Macaca mulatta: one gene and its partner. The protein of the gene in region 2 purifies or fractionates together with the protein of the main gene of each other region. This does not show direct contact. Links are inferred from orthologs where the notes say so. Each region holds a gene or a part of one and is shown on either strand. Other genes may lie near its edges.

What was found.
Region 1: the proteins of CABIN1 (region 2) and UBN1 purify together in Homo sapiens (affinity purification with western blotting; 6 studies listed by BioGRID, with this or other methods). This does not show direct contact. The link is inferred for Macaca mulatta from reciprocal best matches to the Homo sapiens genes CABIN1 and UBN1.

What each region holds. Positions count from the first base shown.
Region 1 is NC_133425.1:6,118,870-6,128,497, reverse strand, and holds part of UBN1 (ubinuclein-1), read right to left. Parts: intron 4,545-9,628; coding exon 4,458-4,544; intron 3,965-4,457; coding exon 3,869-3,964; intron 3,553-3,868; coding exon 3,418-3,552; intron 2,713-3,417; coding exon 2,609-2,712; intron 1,914-2,608; coding exon 1,475-1,913; intron 1-1,474. UniProt on the Homo sapiens protein: Acts as a novel regulator of senescence. Involved in the formation of senescence-associated heterochromatin foci (SAHF), which represses expression of proliferation-promoting genes. Binds to proliferation-promoting genes.
Region 2 is NC_133415.1:28,357,023-28,366,650, reverse strand, and holds the end of CABIN1 (calcineurin-binding protein cabin-1), read right to left. Parts: exon of another isoform or gene 9,036-9,628; intron 6,074-9,035; coding exon 5,909-6,073; intron 4,690-5,908; coding exon 4,327-4,689; intron 4,139-4,326; coding exon 3,702-4,138; 3' UTR 3,552-3,701; downstream 1-3,551. Other genes in the region: SUSD2 (sushi domain-containing protein 2), read right to left, coding at 82-254. UniProt on the Homo sapiens protein: May be required for replication-independent chromatin assembly. May serve as a negative regulator of T-cell receptor (TCR) signaling via inhibition of calcineurin. Inhibition of activated calcineurin is dependent on both PKC and calcium signals.

The DNA of each region.
Region 1 (9,628 bases), on a different chromosome or scaffold from region 2:
AGCAAGATATAATGTTTGTTTAACATGAATTCTGAAAGCAAATATAGGACAGTAGGCTCAAACACACCAAGTTCAGATTCAGCTACTTCCACCTCAAGGTCATACTTAAGGGATACTCCAAACCCCAACATGGCACAATTCATTTAAATCATTACATTCAAATACAATACTTGAATTTCCAATGCTGAACACAAGCTGACAAAGATGAGATAGAGATTGGAACAGATACTTTATTTGCTTTATATACGGCGTTCAAATAGTTTTTGGAAGTGAGAAAATCATTTTAGCAGTGGCTGACAATTTACCCTGCCCTAAAACACAAAGGATACTATACGTAACAATGCTTCTAAAATACTGTAAGAACTGCTGGTTTAAAACCTACAGCTGTAGATTATGAGTGCCACCAGAGCTGCATCACAAGTCCTGATGCTTAAGATAAAATGTTATTTTAACTTAAAGGTAAATGATATTACAACTAATGATCCATGCCAGGTTTACAGTTAAGAAATATGTTACTTGAACAGACAATTCTCAGAGCTTAGGGATCAATTCCCAGTCACTGGAGGAAAACAGCAAGAGCTGCTATATCCTAAAGGTGGTGATGGTGGTTGGTTTGTTTTTTAACAGAGTCTCGCTCTGTGGCCCAGGCTGGAGTGCACTGGCGCCATCTCCACTCACCACAACCTCCGCCTCCTGGATTCAAGTGATTCTCCTGCCTCAGCCTTTCAAGTAGCTAGGATTATGGTATGCACCACCCTGCCCAGCTAAATTTTTGTATTTTTAGTAGAAAGAGGGTTTCACCATGTTGGCCAGGCTGGTCTCGAACTCCTGACCTCAGGTGATCCACCTGCCTCGGCCTCCCAAAGTGCTGGGATTACAGGTGTGAGCCACCGTGCCCCGCCAATGGTGGGTTTTAACGGGGCATGGACGGCAATTAAAATTAAGTTACTTTTCATTCATCACATTGGAAGCATTCCCGTAATCACTACCTAACTCTAGATACACAATGCAAAGGAGCAACTGAAACCTAGTGGCAACGAAGCATATACTCTATGTGCAATTCATATGTTTGCAAACTTTTGTGAATTTGCAAAACCTTCGGAAGAATTCTAAGATGAATCTCTGCCTCAGCTGCCTGTTGCCAACATCATCCATCTATCACATGAAAGAAAAGATGCCGAGTGGAAAACTGACAGAAAACAGAATAATCTGACAGAAAACAGAAAGACAACCATCTCCCCAGAAGAAAGCAAACTTTCCAGAAATGAAGAAATGAAGAATGGCCTAAAATGATGCCTGACGGGCAAGGCTTGCACTGTTTTCTCCCTCAGAATGAGAAGAGAGTTTGGAAAAAGCTGACACCTTAACTGCCAACTCACTAAGGTTTCTCTGGGCGAGCTTCACGCAGTGCAGAACCAACGGCAATCTGCCCAAACTGCTTCCAGGAAAGCCCAGCCGCACTGTGTCACCATACCTGAGCCAGCTCCTTAACGCGCTTCTCCAGGGGTGCTGGCAGGCCTTCGGGGAGAGAAGAGGGCTGCCTGAATTCCTGGTCCAATCCCACCCCAAGGGAATCACTTCCATCATCCATATCACGGAAGGGGCTTCCTTCTGGAGACTCACTGAGCAGATGCTCCAAGTCCAAATCCGTCAGCGAGTCCATGGCAGTGGCCGCCTGGAGGAAGTCGTTGTCAGAAGTGGAGCCAAAGAGTGAGAGCAAGGGGTCAGAGGCACCCTCCAGTTCTCGCAGGCCCTGAGCTTCCGCTGATGGGACCGCAACAGGCTTATGCTCCTCCTCCCTTTTTTTCTGAGCCTCTTTCTCCTTCTGAAATTTCTTTAGCATCTCTTTAACGCTTAACGCCCCAGAATATTTCTTCTTCTTCTTCTCCTTACTGGCATTGAGGGCTGTGAAGCTGCAAGCAAGAGGGAAACTGGTCACTCAGACTACAGGACACTGCCAAAGGGAACTCCAGAGGCCTTCACCCCTGCTCCCAGGGCCATGGTCTCCAGGAGAACCTGTCACAGTCCACCCTGTCATTCCTCCTCCCTCCTCTTGGCATATGGAGCTCGTTCTTGCTGAGACCAAAGCTTGAGAGTTAATACAGGTTAGCAACACAGTGTCACATATGCTAAATTTCCGACGGGTTTTTAGAAACCACTGCCAGGCTGAAATAAAAGGTTGCAAAAAGGGGCAGGGAGAGCAAGAAAAGTATTTACAGGGAGAAAGCAGGAGCAGCAGAGAACAGCAGCAACTTGAAGAGCAGCTGGGGTGAGACCAAGTGAGGAGAAGGAAGCAGGACCACAGACGACAAGGGAAAACAGCAGAGACAGAAGGAGAACTGGGGCAGAGAGGAGCGTCCCGGAGAACGAGAAACATCAGCAGTCACACAGTGACAAGAATAGCTGCCAACACTGACAGTGGAACTATCTGACACACAGAGAGGTGAGCGTGTATGCCCAGAATGGCACCGCGGGAGGCGTGCAGGAGGACAGGAAGGCTAGGCCCTGCTGCCTCTTCCGAAGCTGTGGGGAGGAGGTGAGTCAGCTCCCAGTCGTCCTGCCCTAACAGTTCAGGCTTTATCCTAGCAAAGAAGCTGCTGCCTCTCACCCGGCTTTGGAAAACTTGGACTTTTTCGATTTCTTCTCCTTGTCATAAGTGTCATCTTTTTTCTTCTTCTTTATCTTCTCACCACCTTCCTTCAACTTCCGCTTCTGAGAATTAAAGACAAGGCACAGTTACACGGCTCCCTAACTCAGGGAGCAAGTGCACTACACGGCACTGGCCTTGCTCCGCCCAGGGCACATCCTGAGACCTGTCTCATTTCCTTCATGAACAAAAGCTCTCAGATTGGTCCCTGGACCACAAACCCACAGCATTCCCACCGACGGTGTCTCCTGGAAACACCCAGGGCTGAGACAAAAGTGACCATTCTGGAGCCTGAAACCTTTCTAGTTTGAAAGTTACAAGTGGGCCCTACCTCTTGTTTTAAACACATAGGCAGTGGTAGACAGGTTTTTAAACACACTGATCCTAAGGCTGACTGGTTTTCAGTGGGGTGGCAGCCCTGGGAACTGAAGTCCTCTACACGTCCACAGAAGAGGGTCAGCAAGAGTGGTACACATCCCTCACTCCACACCCTTCCCACCCTTAGGCCACCTCCAGAAACGATCCCTGCTGAGCCTGCTGGGATGTTATGTGAGGTGGACACGATGACCAAGTGCCGCACAGAGCCCCCACAGGCACGTGTCCTCATCAGGGCACATGTGTATGAGGTGAACCATCGACCTGGCACGGCTCTGCCTTTCCACCGTCCTCCTGAGCCGGCCAAGCACCACGTATTCTGACGAGTCACCTACTCATCTGATAGGGTCACATCAAAAAGCATTTCTAAAATCCAAAAGCAAGCACATTCTAACCTTTGGAGACTTTTTCTTCTTTTCTTTAATGAAGTCATCCTCAGACTCTGATGCTTGTCTAAACTGCAGGGTTCCCGAGTTAATGTAAAATCCTCCATACTTCGTAGTCAAAGAAGCAGGAACAAGCTCATCATACTGAAAGGGTGAAACAAACTGTCAGCTCCAAGTTCTGCTTCTGTAGTCCAAAGGTGCAAAGCAGGTCTAGAGAGAGATGTGAGTATGTTCCTCTGACACTTCCAAGAGCATGCTAAAACATCCTTCTGGTCAACATTTTCTGAAGAGGGAACTAAGGCCCGGATCAAGAATGTCACTTTGTCTCTCATCAGCGCTGCTACTGCCTCATGCTGGGAAGAGGGCATGGCCGCTGTGACCCCACCCCCAGCTTCCTGGCCAGTATGAGGAGGAGCTATGGCACAGTGGGTCTGACACGGCATTTTCAGTAACTACTTACCGCCTCAGAGTTATCGATGAAGGAATCGGATTCATCATAACCATACCCCATATCGATCAAGTCCTGTATTCGGTCTTTTCTACGTTTCTTTCCACCCTAAAATGTAAAAGCAACAGATTACATGCTTTTTGATAAATACACAGAATTAACTGTGGCCTTGAACTTCATCAGCTATGACTCAAAGAGGAAAAGCACTAACTAGAAAGGTCACTCTCTCACATACACAAACCCCAAAATCTCCTTTCCTGAAAACCTTTTAACACAGGGCAGATTTGTATCTGTATAAAATGTCCTAGGACAGAAAAATGAACTAAATGGTTTCTTATGCTTCGTACCAAAACATTTCTTCTAAGACGATCACAGGCCCTTCTCGGTTATTTGTCCAGTTAGCTCCTCACTCTAGCTCTGCCATGCCCGTTTTCTGTACCTTAATGCATTAGGTTTAATAACTGCTTCTGTTCTCTCCAAGCTTAATGCTTATGTCCACATCAGTGTTTATTACATGATAATCCACTAAAGGAATACAGAAATGTATGGAAACCTCTCCCACCCAATGAGGTTGTTTTGTTGCTCAAGAGAGAAATCTTACGTATTTTTCTTCAAATTTCCGGGCAAGGGCCTCCACTTTATGCCTTTCCTTTTCTTCGTCATTGAAAGGATCTGACAGATCTTTCTTCTGTAAAGAGATTGTTCCATAAAAAATAAGTCACAAAATAGTCCCATGTTCTTATTCGTAGAAACTCCACTGACTACTCAATACCTATATAAAAACAATGTTTTTCAGAAAAAGGCAAGGTATAAAACATGCTACTATCTCATCAATGTTTATCTTAATTAAGAAAGTAAAATTTCCATTCACGCAGGTTAATAAAACTTGACTGAATGCCTACAATTATCCACCACAGCAGGAGGGGCTACAGGGCTCAAAGACAGCAAAGGGCCTTTAGAAGGAGATGCTCAATCGCTACACAACCACGTTCAATACAGCGGACTTCCCTCGTAACTCTAAAATTTTCTTCATGCATTTAAAAACATTCTAAGAAAGAGTCCATTGACTTCCAAAAGAGTCAATGGCTCAAAAATGTGAAAATCCCACTGAACGTGGTACAAGTTCTTGAGAGCCGTTCTGCCACACTGTTTAGAAAGGTCTGAAATTGCACTTCTCTCGGTGCTACCAAAGTTAAACTCAGGCTTCCAAGGCTTATTTCCATTTTATAAGCTTATTCTTTTCTCATCAAGCAAATTTTCCAGAGATAAGCCTTAAGGTTCTTGAGCAAGGAATCTAAAAAAAATTTTTTTTTTTGTTTTGAGATATAGTCTCACTCTGTCACTCAAGCTGCAGTGCAGTGGCACAATCATGACTCACTGTAGCCTCAACCTCCCCAGGCTCGGGTAATCCTCCTGCCTCAGCCTCTTGCATAGCTGGGACCACAGGCATGCAACACTAGGCCTAGCTCATTTTTTCTTTAAGTCTTTTATAGAGAGAGGGTTTCATCATGTTGCCGAGGCTGGTCTCAAGCTCTTGGGCTCAAATGATCTGCCCATCTCAGCCTCTCAAAGTGCTGAGATTACAGGTGACAGCCACCACACCCAGCCAGAAGCCAGGAACCTTAACAAGACTCCTGTACCAAAAATGTTTAAGACTTCAAGGTAGGCCGGGCGCGGTGGCTCAAGCCTGTAATCCCAGCACTTTGGGAGGCCGAGATGCGCAGATCACGAGGTCAGGAGATCGAGACCATCCTGGCTAACACGGTGAAACCCCGTCGCTACTAAAAAATACAAAAAACTAGCCGAGTGAGTTGGCGGGCGCCTGTAGTCCCAGCTACTCGGGAGGCTGAGGCAGGAGAACGGCGTAAACCTGGGAGGCGGAGCTTGCAATGAGCTGAGATCCGGCCACTGCACTCCAGCCCGGGCGACACAGCGAGACTCCGTCTCAAAAAAAAAAAAAAGACTTCAAGGTAGACAGAAAACATTAAAGATTGTATGCCTGTTTCAAACAAACTTTCTTATCTCACCCTTCCATCTCTGCCTACTGAAATACTACCTGCAAAGGATCAGTTAAATGATTTGTGGTGTACACATACAATGGGATATTATAGAGCATACATCTAATGAACATACCACAAATGGGGAGTCTTTCAAACACACTTATCTGGATCTTCTAATTTTTCTAGGATGATCACATATAACTTGAGTGGTTATGTAACAGTAAGAAATCCCACCAACCTTGAGGAGCACTGGATTCCATGTATACTACTCAATGCCTTGCCAACAGCAGTCTTCCAATAACTACTATTTCCTGACTGTATGATGGAAGGTCCAGCTCTGTCCAAATACTAATCAGGATATAAGCTCTCTTCTTTCCAAGACCTCCAGGGCCTGTGTTGTACCAGACTTAAACAATGACCGTATTGTAATTTCTGTTACCTGTGGTGGTACCATTCTCCTAAACCATCTACACGTTTGTTTTGAGTGTGGTACAGTGTTTTCTCCACCTTTCTACAGTCCTCTGAATCTAGCACAGTGCCTTCATACTATTAAGAAATATACACTAAAAGAATGCTGCACGAATGTGTCCGATTTCATTGTACTTTTAACACTGCAGAGTAGACCCACGGCGACTTAGGAGTTCCCTGAACCCGAAGTCCAGGACTGAATCCTCTGAATTGGATCCAAAGTTCTCTGTGTATCCTCCATGCATTTGTCTGCAATGGAGAAGGGCATTTGGAGCCCCCAAAAACGTGCAATCAGAGCACTGGAGTTCTCATTTCAGTTGACCTACTGATTTGGTTTCAACCCACAAATAAACACATTAACCAACCCCTGCTACTGTCTCTTCCTCTAAACGAAAAAGATACCATTTTACTGAAACAGGAATTATAAAGGGATGTGAAATTACTTTTTCTCATCCTGCCCAGTGGCCCTCATCCAACAGGCTGACCCTTGGTACAGACTCATTGGCCCCGATTCTGGCAATCAGGCAATCAGACCTCAATCAAGGAAACATTTTTTTTTTGGTTTGGTTTTTTTTGGTGGGGGAAGATGGAGTCTCACCATCACCCAGGCTGGAGTACAGTGGCGCGATTTCAGCTCGTTGCAAAACCCGCCTCCTGGGTTCAAGTGATTCTCACGCCTCAGCCTCCCCAGAGCTGGGATTACAGGTGCGTCCCACCACTCCCGGCTTTTTTTTTTTTTTTTTTGGAGACAGAGTCTCGCTCTGTCACCCAGACTGGAGTGCAGTGGCATGATCTCGGCTCACTAAAACCTCCAGCCCCTGGGTTCAAACAATTCTCCTGCCTCAGCCTCCCAAGTAGCTGGCATTACATGCGTGCACTACCACATCCGGCTAATTTTTGTATTTTTAGTAGAGATGGGGCTTCACCATGTTGGCCAGGCTAGTCTCGAACTCCTGACCTCAAGTGATCAGACCGCCTTAGCCTCCCAAAGTGTTGGGATGCTGCGCCAGGCCTTCTAGCCATGTTTTTTTTTTTTTTTTTTTTTAAGACAGGGTCTTGCTTTCACCCAGTGCAGTAGTGTGATCACGGCTCACTGCAACCTTGACCTCTCAGGCTCAAGCAATCCTCCCACCTCAGCCACCTCAGCTTTCTGAGTAGCTGGAACTTCAGGCATGCGCCATCATGCCCAGCTAATTTCTACATTATTTTGCAGAGATGGAGTTTCACTGTGTTGCCCAGGCTAGTCTTGAACTCCTGTGGTCAAGTGATCCTCATGTCTCTGACTCCCAAAGTGCTGGGATTACAGGTGTGAGCCACTATGCCAGGCCAAGAAAATACATTTTTTAATCTCAGGAAAAAAAGGTTAATCCTTCTAACCAAAAATACCCTCCAAACAGCACACCTGTGAATAAGACCGACTGATCACTTGGCACTGAGGCATAATGCTAGAAACTTCACAACATAGGGCCGGGCGCAGTGGCTCAAGCCTGTAAACCCAGCACTTTGGGAGGCCAAGACGGGCGGATCACAAGGTCAGGAGATTGAGACCATCCTGGCTAACATGGTGAAACCCCGTCTCTACTAAAAAATACAAAAAACTAGCCGGGCAAGGTGGCGGGCGCCTGTAGTCCCAGCTACTCGGGAGGCTGAGGCAGGAGAATGGCGTAAACCCGGGAGGTGGAGCTTGTGGTGAGCTGAGATCTGGCCACTGCACTCCAGCCTGGGCGGCAGAGCGAGACTCCGTCTCAAAAAAAAAAAAAAAGACACTTCACAACACGATCTCATTCCACGCTCAGACAGCTGTGAGCCAATTATCAGCCTCATCCCCATTTCACCAAGAGCCACTCTAGAGACTAGAATGCTGCCAGTGTGGGGCCTACTTACCTTTTCCTCAGAGCCTAGCATAGTGCAAAGGTAGACACAGGTGCTTAAAAATGCTTTTCACCTAGGCAGTACTCAAATAGCATATGATTCTATCTACATACAATACAAAAACACAGCCGGGTGCCGTGGCTCACGCCTGTAATCCCAACACTTTGAGAGGCAAAGGTGGGTAGATCACTTGAGGTCAGGAGTTCTCAAGACCAGCCTGGCCACCAACATGGTGAAACCCCGTCTCTGCTAAAAATACAAAAAAAAAAAAAAATTAGCCAGATGTGATGGCTGGCACCTGTAATCCCAGCTACTTGGGAGGCTAAGACAGGAGAACCACTTGAACTTGGGAGGCAAAAGTTGCAGTGAGCCAAGATTGCACCACCGCACTGCAGCCTGGGTGACAGGGTAAGACTTGGTCTCAAAAAAGAGAAAAAAAAAAAAAAAAGAGAGAGGCCAGACCCTTGGCTCATGCCTGTAATCCCGGCACTTTGGGAGGCCAAGGTGGGTGGATTTTCACAAGGTCAGGAGATCGAGACCATCCTGGCTAACACGTTGAAACGCCGTCTCTACTAAACACACAAAAAAATTAGCCGGGCATGGTGGTGGATGCCTGCTGTCCCAGCTACTCGGGAGGCTGAGGCAGGAGAATGGTGTGAACACAGGCGGCAGAGGTTGCAGTGAGCCAAGATCACGCCACTGCACTCCAGCCTGGGCGACAGAGCGAGACTCCGCCTCAAAAAACAAACAAACAAACAAAAAAACCTCCACAAATCTAAGCTGATCTAAGCTGTTAGAAATCAGGGCAGTGGTTGCCCATTAGTATTGGGATAGTCTTCTGGCAGGGCAGAAGGAGGGTTTCTGGGGTCATGATAAATATATGTTGTGACCTACATGCAGATTACATGGGTGCAGTGAGTTCATGAAAATCCATCAAGTTGTGGCTAGGTGCAGTGGCTCATGTTCGTAATCTCAGCACTTTGGGAGGCCAAGGCAGGCAGATCACTTCAGAACAGCAGTTTGAGACCAGCCTGGCCAACACAGTGAAATGCCATCTCCACCAAAAATACAGAAATTAGCTGGGTATGGTGGCGTGCACCTGTAATCCCAGCTACTCAGGAGGTTGAGGCAGAAGAATCACTTGAACCCAGGAGGTGGAGGTTACAGTGAGCCGAGATCGCGCCACTGCACTCCAGCCTGGGCGACAGGGCAAGACTCAGTCAAAAAAACAAGAAAAAAACAACAAAAAAAAGCAGTCTACGTGTTTTCTTGTCTGCCCCTATACTAGGTAGACAGCAAGACTCTCTTGGAAGAGAAAAATGTCCAGCATGAAATTCTAACACTGGAACTGTCAGGGACTGGTTTCATTTACACATAACGTTTACAACCTTGACAGAGAAAAATGCACTGTTTTTAAAACTTATGTTAATTA
Region 2 (9,628 bases):
CCCATCCCCATGGGCTGCCCCACGACATGGACCCTCAGAATTTCTTCCCACCACCCCTAGCACAGCCACAGATGGCCTGACAGGTGGACAGAGGCTGAGCCCAGAGGGTGGTCTGCCCAGGCCTGGCTGCAGCCAGATGGACAGACAGATGGGGGCACAGGAGGGCGGGGAGGCATACCTGCTGCGGGTCCAGGGCCTGGGCCGGGGGCTGTCGCCAGCAGCAGCAGGGCCCAGGGCAGGAGGGCTGGCTTCATGGTGCAGTCTGTGTCTGCAGCCAGCAGTGCAGTGGCTCTGAGGCAAGGCGGCCAGAGAAGCTCATTCCCAGCCGGCCTGGCCCCGCCCGCCCTGCACTCTGCGGCACCGCCCCGCCCCGCCCCGCCCCTCCTCGCCCCTCCCCGCCGGGTCCCCTCTCAAAGTCCACAGGTGCCTGCGTGGACCAGCAAGGCCCAACCTGCCCCGTTAGCACATTCCTGGCCCGCAGGCATGGGTCGGCCCTGGGACCCTGTGGGAGGGTGAGGAGGCTGGAGCCTCCAGCTGTAGGGCCTTTGGCAGGCGATGAGCCGGATGTCCAGAGGCCAAAGCTCAGACCCTGGGTCCCAGCCCCGCCCTGTGTGCAGGGTGTGCCGGGCGGGGCTGCAGCAGAGGATGGGATGCACAGGGTGGGTAAGGCAGGGCTGTTTAAGCTCCAGGCAGGAGTCTAGCCTCTGTGGCCCTGACATTGACCTCCATCTCTAGCCCTCATCTTCCTGCAGGAAGGAGGTGCTCCCAACTCATCCTCCCGGGATGCGGGAGCTGTTTGGGTCAGACACAGGCTGAGCCCTGGGGCTGAGGCAGCTCTGCAGGGGACCCCTCCGGAGGGAGGAAGGAGGGAGGGGAGAGGAAGTACTCAAGCCCAGCTGGGGGGCCAGAAGGGAGACAGGGCCCATCCCCGGGCTCCAGAGATGCCACCACACTGGGGAGCCTTGACTCTCCCAGCCACACCTAATCCTGCCACTCAGAGTTTGCATAATCTAATCAGTGTTTCCCTCCCCTTCTTGAGCAGATGAGGAAACTGAAGCTCAGATGTGGACAGGCAAGGCCAAGTCAGGCCCTTGGTGGCTTCTGGGAGCCCCTGCAGCCAGGGTGGGCCGTAAGGGCTGTGGCCTGGGATTGGTCACTTGGGCCCTGCCATCTGGGCTGGATGTCCAGACAGGCGGGTGGTCCTCTCCCAGCTGCAGCTTCTCAAGGTGTCCAAAAGGGACTCTTGCCACACTTGCAGGGAGTCAGAGCTGGCCCCAGGGCATGAGCTTAGGCCATCTGGTCTCTGATCTGCCCAGCACTTGGGGCCAGGCCAGTCCATTGTTCCCCGGCCTGTTCTCTCTCTTGCCTGGGTGGTGCCTGCTGGGAACCACAGCGTGTTGGCAGCCACCTGTGGCTCCAGAGGGGTGGCCCTTACTGAAGGTGTTAGAGGCGTGCGCTGGGGGACTTGGCTCCTGAGTCCTCACACACAGCTGTTCCAGGGAAGCCACACCCACATTTGATGTCTTCCCACCTCCCAAAGACATTTGGTGAGAGGCCCTCAAGACCTTCAGCTTCCCAGCGACTGTTTCCAGAGGGGAAAAAGTCCCTTAACCCACAACGGCGCTCAGGGCATCTCTGCAGGTGAGTGTCCTGTGAGTGGACACTCAGGTGCTGAGCCAGGGAGAGCCTGTCTCCTGATCCCAGGCTGGCGAGGGCACTCATCCCGGGCCCAGGGCTGAGGTTTCTCCCTACAGTACTGGGTGCACGGGAGGGTCCGAGGTGTCCCTGAGGTGAGGATCCAGGGAGGGGTGTTGGGGGTTGGCTGAGACGGTTCCCGGGAACAGGAGGACGAAGAGCTGCTGCTTCCTGTTTCTGGCCTGGGCACCCTTGCTGTGTGTGTCTGGAGATGATGGAAGTGCGGTGGGGGCTAGGTGTGCAGTCTGGGAAGCTCCTTACCCCAGGCCCTGCAGGGAGGGGGCGTCAGCTGAGTAACTGCGGCCGGCCGGCTCATCTCAGCCCTCCGAAGGCGGGTTCAGCCAGAACCATCTAGGGCCGCCAAGCCTCTGGTTCCACAAGGGCGGTGCCCAGCCCTTTACGCCTTCCTTCCTGGGTGGTGGGCATGTCCAGCCCATGAGGGGCACAGGGCAGTGAGGAGGGTCCCCATCTCCATCCTGGACAGAGAGCCTGCTTCGTGGGCGGTCCCAGGGGCCAGGAGGGCCCCTGTGGTGCTGGGAGGGGAAGAGGGTGGTGAAGGGTGGGTTTGGGCCCCTGGAACCTGTACATCCCCAAAACAGATGGGCCTGGAACCTTCAGGGGCGGGGCCAGCTTCAGGGGCTTGTTTAATGCTCTGTGGGGGCTGCTTTAAAATCCTTAATCATAGGCCGGGCGCGGTGGCTCAAGCCTGTAATCCCAGCACTTTGGGAGGCCGAGACGGGCGGATCACGAGGTCAGGAGATCAAGACCACCCTGGCTAACACAGTGAAACCCCGTCTCTACTAAAAATACAAAAACTTAGCTGGGCGAGGTGGCAGGCGCCTGTAGTCCCAGCTACTCGGGAGGCTGAGGCAGGAGAATGGCGTAAACCCGGGAGGCGGAGCTTGCAGTGAGCTGAGATCCAGCCACTGCACTCCAGCCTGGGTGACAGAGCGAGACTCCATCTCAAAAAAAAAAAAAAAAAAAAAAAATCCTTAATCATTTTTGATCAGGCATGGTGACTGACGCCTGTAATCTCAGCAGTTTGGGTAGCCAAGGTGGGTGGATCTCTTGAGGTCAGGAGTTCGAGACCAGCCTGGCCAATATGGTGAAACTCCATCTCTATTAAAAATGCAAAAATTGCCGGGAGTGGTGGCGTGTGCCTGTGGTCTCAGCTACTTGGGAGGCTGAGGCAGGAGAATCGCTTGAACCCGAAAGGCGGAAGTTTAGTGAGCTGAGATCGTGCCACTGCACTCTAGCCTGGGAGATGGAGTGAGACTGCCTCAAAAAAAAAAAAAAAAAAAAAAAAAGAAAAAGAAAAAAGAAAAAAAAGAAAAGAAAAAAAAAATCCTTAATCATTTTTGAACAAGGGGCTTCATATTTACGTCTTGCACTGAGCCCCACAGCTATTCTCTGACTGGCCCTGTTAGGGCGATGGTGTTGGGACTAAGTGTCCTCCCTGCCGGCCCCATCCCCCCTTTCCCTCCCTGACGGCCCCTCCTCCCAGCCTCTCAGCAGCCCCAGTCCTGCCTGCCCTCCCACCATACAGCCTCCCACCCACCAACAGCCGGGGGAATTCTGGGGATGCACCTAATGCCCCTTTGAGGCCCGGCTCCAGCTGCACTGGAGGCGTCTGCCCAGCCCAGCCCCAAACCGGCACTCTCCTTACCCCACTGGGCACCCCCAGTCGCTGCTTTGGTTGCCTGGTTGATCCCTGAGATGCTGGAGAAGGATGGGGGCTGGGCCCTGCCCTATGGGCTATGGCAGTAAAGGCCCAGGCCCAGAATCCCTGGGGACAGCAACCCTCCACCCAAGACTCTGCGGGATTGCCCCCTAGAGGTGAGCAAAGAGGCAAAGACAACTGTTCCATCTTTATTAGAAAAGCAACCAAAAAAAGTGAGGGGCGAGCCTGGCCCTAAAGGACCCCTCCACTGTGACACAGGCACAGCCGGCTCATCCCGGCGTCGAGGGGTGGACATGGCCAGCTGGGTGTGGGCAGATTTAGAAAGTCAACATTTCATAGAAAACGATGCCGCCTGGCGTGCAGATGGCGACCAATCCACCTTCACATGGCTAAGGTGGACCCCTCCTCCTCTGGGCTCCCACGTGGTGTGGACAGCCCTGACCTGGGTACAGGGTGAATGCCATGAGGAGGTGGACTGGGCAGGCCTGGGGGCTGTGTGGGGAGTGGCATCCCACGTGGGCCTCTGGCCCTGCCCAGGGTCCAGGCTGAGGGGGCATTCCAGGGCATCCCAGGCCTGGCCAGTCTCCTGGGGCGTGGCGGTGGGGCTGCAGGGGCCCCTCAAATGTCCATGTAGTCGTCGTCCTCGTCTGTCTCGCTCTCCAGCGAGGACTCCTGGCTGGATGTCTCCAGGACCTCCAGGGCCGGCTGGCACAGGCTCTCCTTCCTCACGTTGGCAGCAGACTGGGCAGAAAGGATGGCTGACTGCAGAGAGGGCCGAGCGGGGCACTAGTCAGGGATGGTTGGGCTCTGCCCCAAACCCCTCTGCCACCTTCACCCCTGCCCCAGGCTCCCGATTCACCCTCACCCCTGTCCCAGGCCCCTATGCCATCCTCACCTACACCCCCAGCCCCTCCTGCCACCCCCACCCCCACCCTAGGTCCCCTTGTAACCTGTGCGGCCCACCCACACGCGTGGTTCCGGCCCAGACCCTGAGGTCACCTTCAGTTTCTGCTTGGTCTCCTCCGAGATGCTGCCTTTGGGGGAGAGCAGGGTTGGGGTGGGTGGCGTGACGGTGATCTCAGGGGGGAACTTGGTGGCGGCGGAGGGGATGACCAGCTTTGGCATGTTGGGCAGGGGGCGGGACTTAGCCCGGCTGGGCTCTGCCTTGCCTGGGTGACCCTCTGGTGGCTGGGCACTCCCACCGCTGGGGGCCTTGGAGCTGGCAGCTGTTGGGGGAGAGCTCAGGGGCTGAGTCTCACTCGCAGCCTCCTGAGCCTCCCCTTCCCTTCTCGGCTCAGGCCTCAGTTTCCCCTCTGGAAGACAAAGGGACCAAGAGCACCTCCTGCCTGCTGCATCACACAGTGAGCACTTTATCTCGCCCCCACTGGTCCTGGGTCTTTATGCTGTGTAGTTTGTGCTGGCTGGCAGGCTCCAAGGCTTCTACCCTGGGCAGATACTTGGCTCAAGCCTGCAGGGACCCAACTCTGGCCCTGGGCTGTGAGGAGCTGGGACTGTGAACCTCACCCAGTAACACCATGAACTCAAAAAGCCCAGGGCCTGAGACTCCCCAAGCCTTGCTGCGTTCTGTAAGACCTCCAGGCATCATGCTTGCATGAACTGTCACATCCCCACAACCATCCTAGGATCCATGTCCTATTGGTGTCTATGCCCCAGGGAGGACACTGAAGCCCAGAGCTGGTCACTCAGCTAGGTGTGGTCACTGGGCTGGCTCCAGGGCCTCCACTTTCACCTCATCCTCCAGAGGGAGCAAGGGGCTGAGTTTGCCCAGAGCCTGAAAGCTGGGACAGTTGCAGGCCTGGCAGCCTCTAGGGAGCTGCATGAGCCGGGAGGACCCGGCTGGCCTGGCTCGCCTCCACATTCCTCTGCAGCCCCATGGCTTTAAAAGGAATGGGGTTTACACAGAGCCCATGCCTGGCCCCCAGGGGCTGGCGCCAGGTCCTGCCATCCCGAGTGGTCTGTGGGAGGCCCACGCCAGGAGGAGTCCCCAAGGGGCCTGCCTGGTTGGAGCAGCTGGTGGGAACAGGCCGGACAGAGGCCAGGGCTAGAATCTGACGTGGTTGCCGACAGGGAAGCCTGCTTGGCCCAGCCCAACCTGTCCACCCTTCTGCCTGCTGCTGATGTCCCTCAAGTGTCTGTTACGGGGCCCATGCTCCTCCCTGTCCATGACTGCCCCTCTTTCCCCACTCTGGGCTCAGCCTGGGTCTTGCAGTGCGCCCAAGCAGGCTGCCTGCCCTCGCTAGTACCCTTCCATGATGCCAGGGACAGAATAAGCCTCTGGTGTCCCTCTTTACCCAGCCCCTGACACAATGGGCCATGAGCCAAACTCTTCAGCCTGGGCCTCTCCCTTGGCTCCCCTCTCCGGCCTGCACTACCCCCATTTCCTCCCCATCTCATTCCATGGGGCATCCCCAGGCCCTGCCCTCCAAGGCCAGGACAGGAAACCCACCCTGGCTGCCAGCTGTGAGGCAGCCTCCTGCGGGCTGGTGCTGGGCTGCTCCCAACTCGCCTTACCCTGGCTGCAGGTGGGCTCGGTGCCTGTCCCTGGGGCAGCCTCTGCTGGCCAGCAGTGTGGCTCTGCTGGGGAACTTGTGGGGGCCGTCTTCACTTGCGCACTGCACCGTGGCTCCTGGGGTGGGAAGCCCGTGCCCTCTGCCACTCTCGCCAGCTCTTCTCCCTCTGTGGGGACATGGGCTCACCACGGGTAATGGACTCATCCACCCCACAGGCTCCCATGCATCTGTTCCAGGTCCCATGGGCCCAGGCTGTGCCCTGGGACATTGGGCAGGGGAGCATGGCCAATGCTGGGGTCCTGGCTGAGGCGTCTCTCCCCTCCACAGGGCAGCCCGGGTTGGTGCTGCCAAGAAATCACTCACCACCCAAGAGGACACTGGTGGGGGCTGGCTCCCCACCCCCAGAGGGCTCCCCGCCCCCAAGAGGGCTGTACACCTGATCCAGTGGGGCCACACCTGAGTCTTCGAGGCCCAGCCTCTCTAAGATCCCATCAAAAGGCAGTGAGAGGGGATGCGGGGTGGTGTCCACTCTCCCTCCAGCTCACATAAGCAGCATTCAGAAACAAGATCAGGACCAAAACCCAAACAACCCAACTAAGACCAAAGTGGATGCTGGCACTGTGGCTCCTGTCCAGCCAGCTACACCTTTCCTGGCCTGAGGCAGGGGCCAGGAATTGGGCTCAGTTGTGCCAAGGCCAGGATGGGCCTAAGAGGCAAATGCTGTCCATATGGCTGCTGGTCAGGCGGTTACTCAGCATCGGTCCCCAGTTCCCAGGCCTCCAAGCCCTGCCCCCACCCTCCACATGGCCCTCGCTTCCCTTGCTGCTCCCCGTCTTCTCACTCAGGCCTGGACTCTCCCATCACACTGTTCATCAACCACTGCCTTTCCAGCCCGCCCCCGCCTCCCCATCCCACTCCTCTGCCAGGAAGCCCTCTGTCCTCTCCAGCAGGGGGTGCCAGCTCCCCTCCTTGGTCAGCAGGAGTGACAGCTCCCAGTACAAAGCTGGGGCCAGCAGGAGACTGCTGGGCTAGGCAGAGGCCTCAGGAGCCATGGCCATGCCCATCGGGCTGCTTTGCCTGAAGCTCCTGCCCCAGGCTGGCTGAGGCCTTGTCTCAAGCCTCCACCCCCTCGGGCCACTCCCTCCTTTGCTCACTGTCATTCCCAGGTCCAGCCCCTGAAACACTGTCTGGCAAGGATGAGTTCCTCAGAAGGCTCCTCCTGCCAAGCTCCCAGCCACTCCCCTACCTCTTGCAGGCAGGTCAGGGCTCACCAGGGCTGGGTACACACCCACCAAGCAGGCCTCCTCTCAGTCCTGTGGCCCTTCCGCAGGCCAGCAGCCTGGCTGGACACACCCCTCAGTGGGGGTGGAAGGGCAGGCACCTGGCTTTCTTGCTGTGGCATTCTGCAGGAGGAGGCAGGGGCAGGCACCCTCCCTCCCCAGGCTACCTGGCTGCCTTATGAGGAGCACTATGGTGAGGGGGGCTGAGGGGAGGGGCCTACTTGGGGATCCATCTTGCAGAAAAGGGCTGTCTGGAGCTCCCCCAGCTACCCCACGACTTGAGTTCTCTGTGGGAAGCAGGTGGCCAGGCCAAAATCCTGTGCCACTGGGGCAACTCTCCCTGCTCCTCAGCGCAGACCCATGAGCCAGGTGCCAGGTCTGGGCTGGTTGTCTCCCAGGCCCTATATCCCAGGAGGCTTCTGGGCCTGGCTCTGTCTCCCCCTGGCCTCTAGGGACCTGCATGAGGGCCAGCATTCCAGCCCCCTTCACCATGCTCAGGGGTGGTGCCCTTACTTGAGTCTAGATTTGGGAACCCCTGTTCCACCCTCCCGCCTTGCTCCACTCCCCTCACCCTAGATGGCCTGACTGCCTCAGAGAGAGGGGTCTTCCTCTTCTAAGGCCAGGCACTGTTCTAGCAGCTGTTCATGGAACCAGGTCTTGGGCTGTGGTGGGCAGGCACATGGCAAAGGAGATAAGCACGTGCCCAGAGGAGAGAGATGCCTGGACAGGCAGTGCCAGGGTCCCTCTGGGGACACAAGAGCCCTGACTGACCCCGAGCTCTCTGGATGCAAATGCTGCATGGGGCCACGGCCTGGTCAGCACAGCCTGGGTAGATGGGTGAGCTCTTCCCTAGGGAAGAGGGGCACCTGAGAGCACCCTGCCTGCTTCCGCGGCCACCTTCCCACTGGAGACAGGGCTGCCCACCCTGGGAACAGCACCTGCCAGGGGCCCCGCTACACGGCCCTCCTGGCTCCCTCACACGTTGAGTACAGCATCCTTAGAGAATTCATCCTCAAATCTGCCCTCCCAAGTGGCTCAGCCATTGCTCAGCCCTGGCTCCCAGCCTCATCCCCAGCCCAGCTGTGGCTCCAGGCCTGGACACTCTCAAATTGCTGGGCGCCTCTGCAGGCAGAACCTGCCGTCCCCTGCAGCAGCCGGTTGCAGCAAGCCTGGGGGGCCTTGGCCCTGCTGAGGCCAGCTTGTTCCTGGTGCTTCCCCCTTTCTAGAGGTTGTGGGATGGGCTCTGGGGGGACATGCCTGTTTCAGCTTGGCTGTGTTACCACCCCAGAAAGCTCTGAGGACCCTTGGGGGATGCCCACTCCAACATGACCAGCCACACGCCCTCTGCTTGCGGATCTGCGGCAGCCCTGAGGCGGGCAGGTATGGAAGCGGAGCGGGGCTGCTCAGGGAATGCCGAGCACGGGCCATTAGGAAGAGGCCAGGCCTACAATGGCACATTCTCAGCTGAGGGCTGCTCCCTGCCCCCAGTGTCATTCAAGAGTTTCATCCTAGGCTGGGCGCGGTGGCTCACGCCTGTAATCCCAGCACTTTGGGAGGCCGAGACGGGCGGATCACAAGGTCAGGAGATCGAGACCATCCTGGCTAACACGGTGAAACCCCGTCTCTACTAAAAAATACAAAAAACTAGCCGGGCGCGGTGGCGAGTGCCTGTAGTCCCAGCTACTCGGGAGGCTGAGGCAGGAGAATGGCGGGAACCCGAGAGTAGGAGCTTGCAGTGAGCTGAGATCCGGCCACTGCACTCCAGCCTGGGCGACAGAGCGAGACTCCGTCTCAAAAAAAAAAAAAAAAAAAAAAAGTTTCATCCTGGCAAAAAGCCATTTAATTTGGTTTTGGGAATGGGAATAGAAAAGGATCAACTCTCCAGGCTGAAGAAGGTATGCTAGGAAACAGATCCTCTTTCTTAGATCTAACAGTTAGAGGAGAGAAGGACGTGAATTACAGCTTTGGCCTGCTTGGCGGTGGGACAGGCAGGCAGAGGGAAAGCAGGCAGCCTCCAGCCCCCTACCCCGCTACCCCTGGCCCTGGCATCCACCGGGCCCTCCCACACCCCGGGGAGGTGTGTGTGGCCTACAGTGATCTCAGTAGCTCCTGAGATTAGGTTATAAAAGACACCGAGGCTTCCTCTGTGTTCTCTCGGTGGAGTCAATGGCTCTGGGGAGAACCAGTCACCACGACACAGAGACACTCAGTTGTTTATAGAAAGGCCCATGGGAGGAGCCGAGGCCTCTGGCCAATAACCAGTGAGGACCTGAGGCTGCCAACACCCCAAGGGAGCTCAGATGCACTGATGATACCTTGACTGCAACCACGTGCGAGACCCTGAGCCAACTCCACCCCACTAAGCCATTGTAAATTCCTGACCGTCAAAAATTACAAGATGAGAGTATGAGACGGGTACAAGGCAAGACAGCCCGAGACAG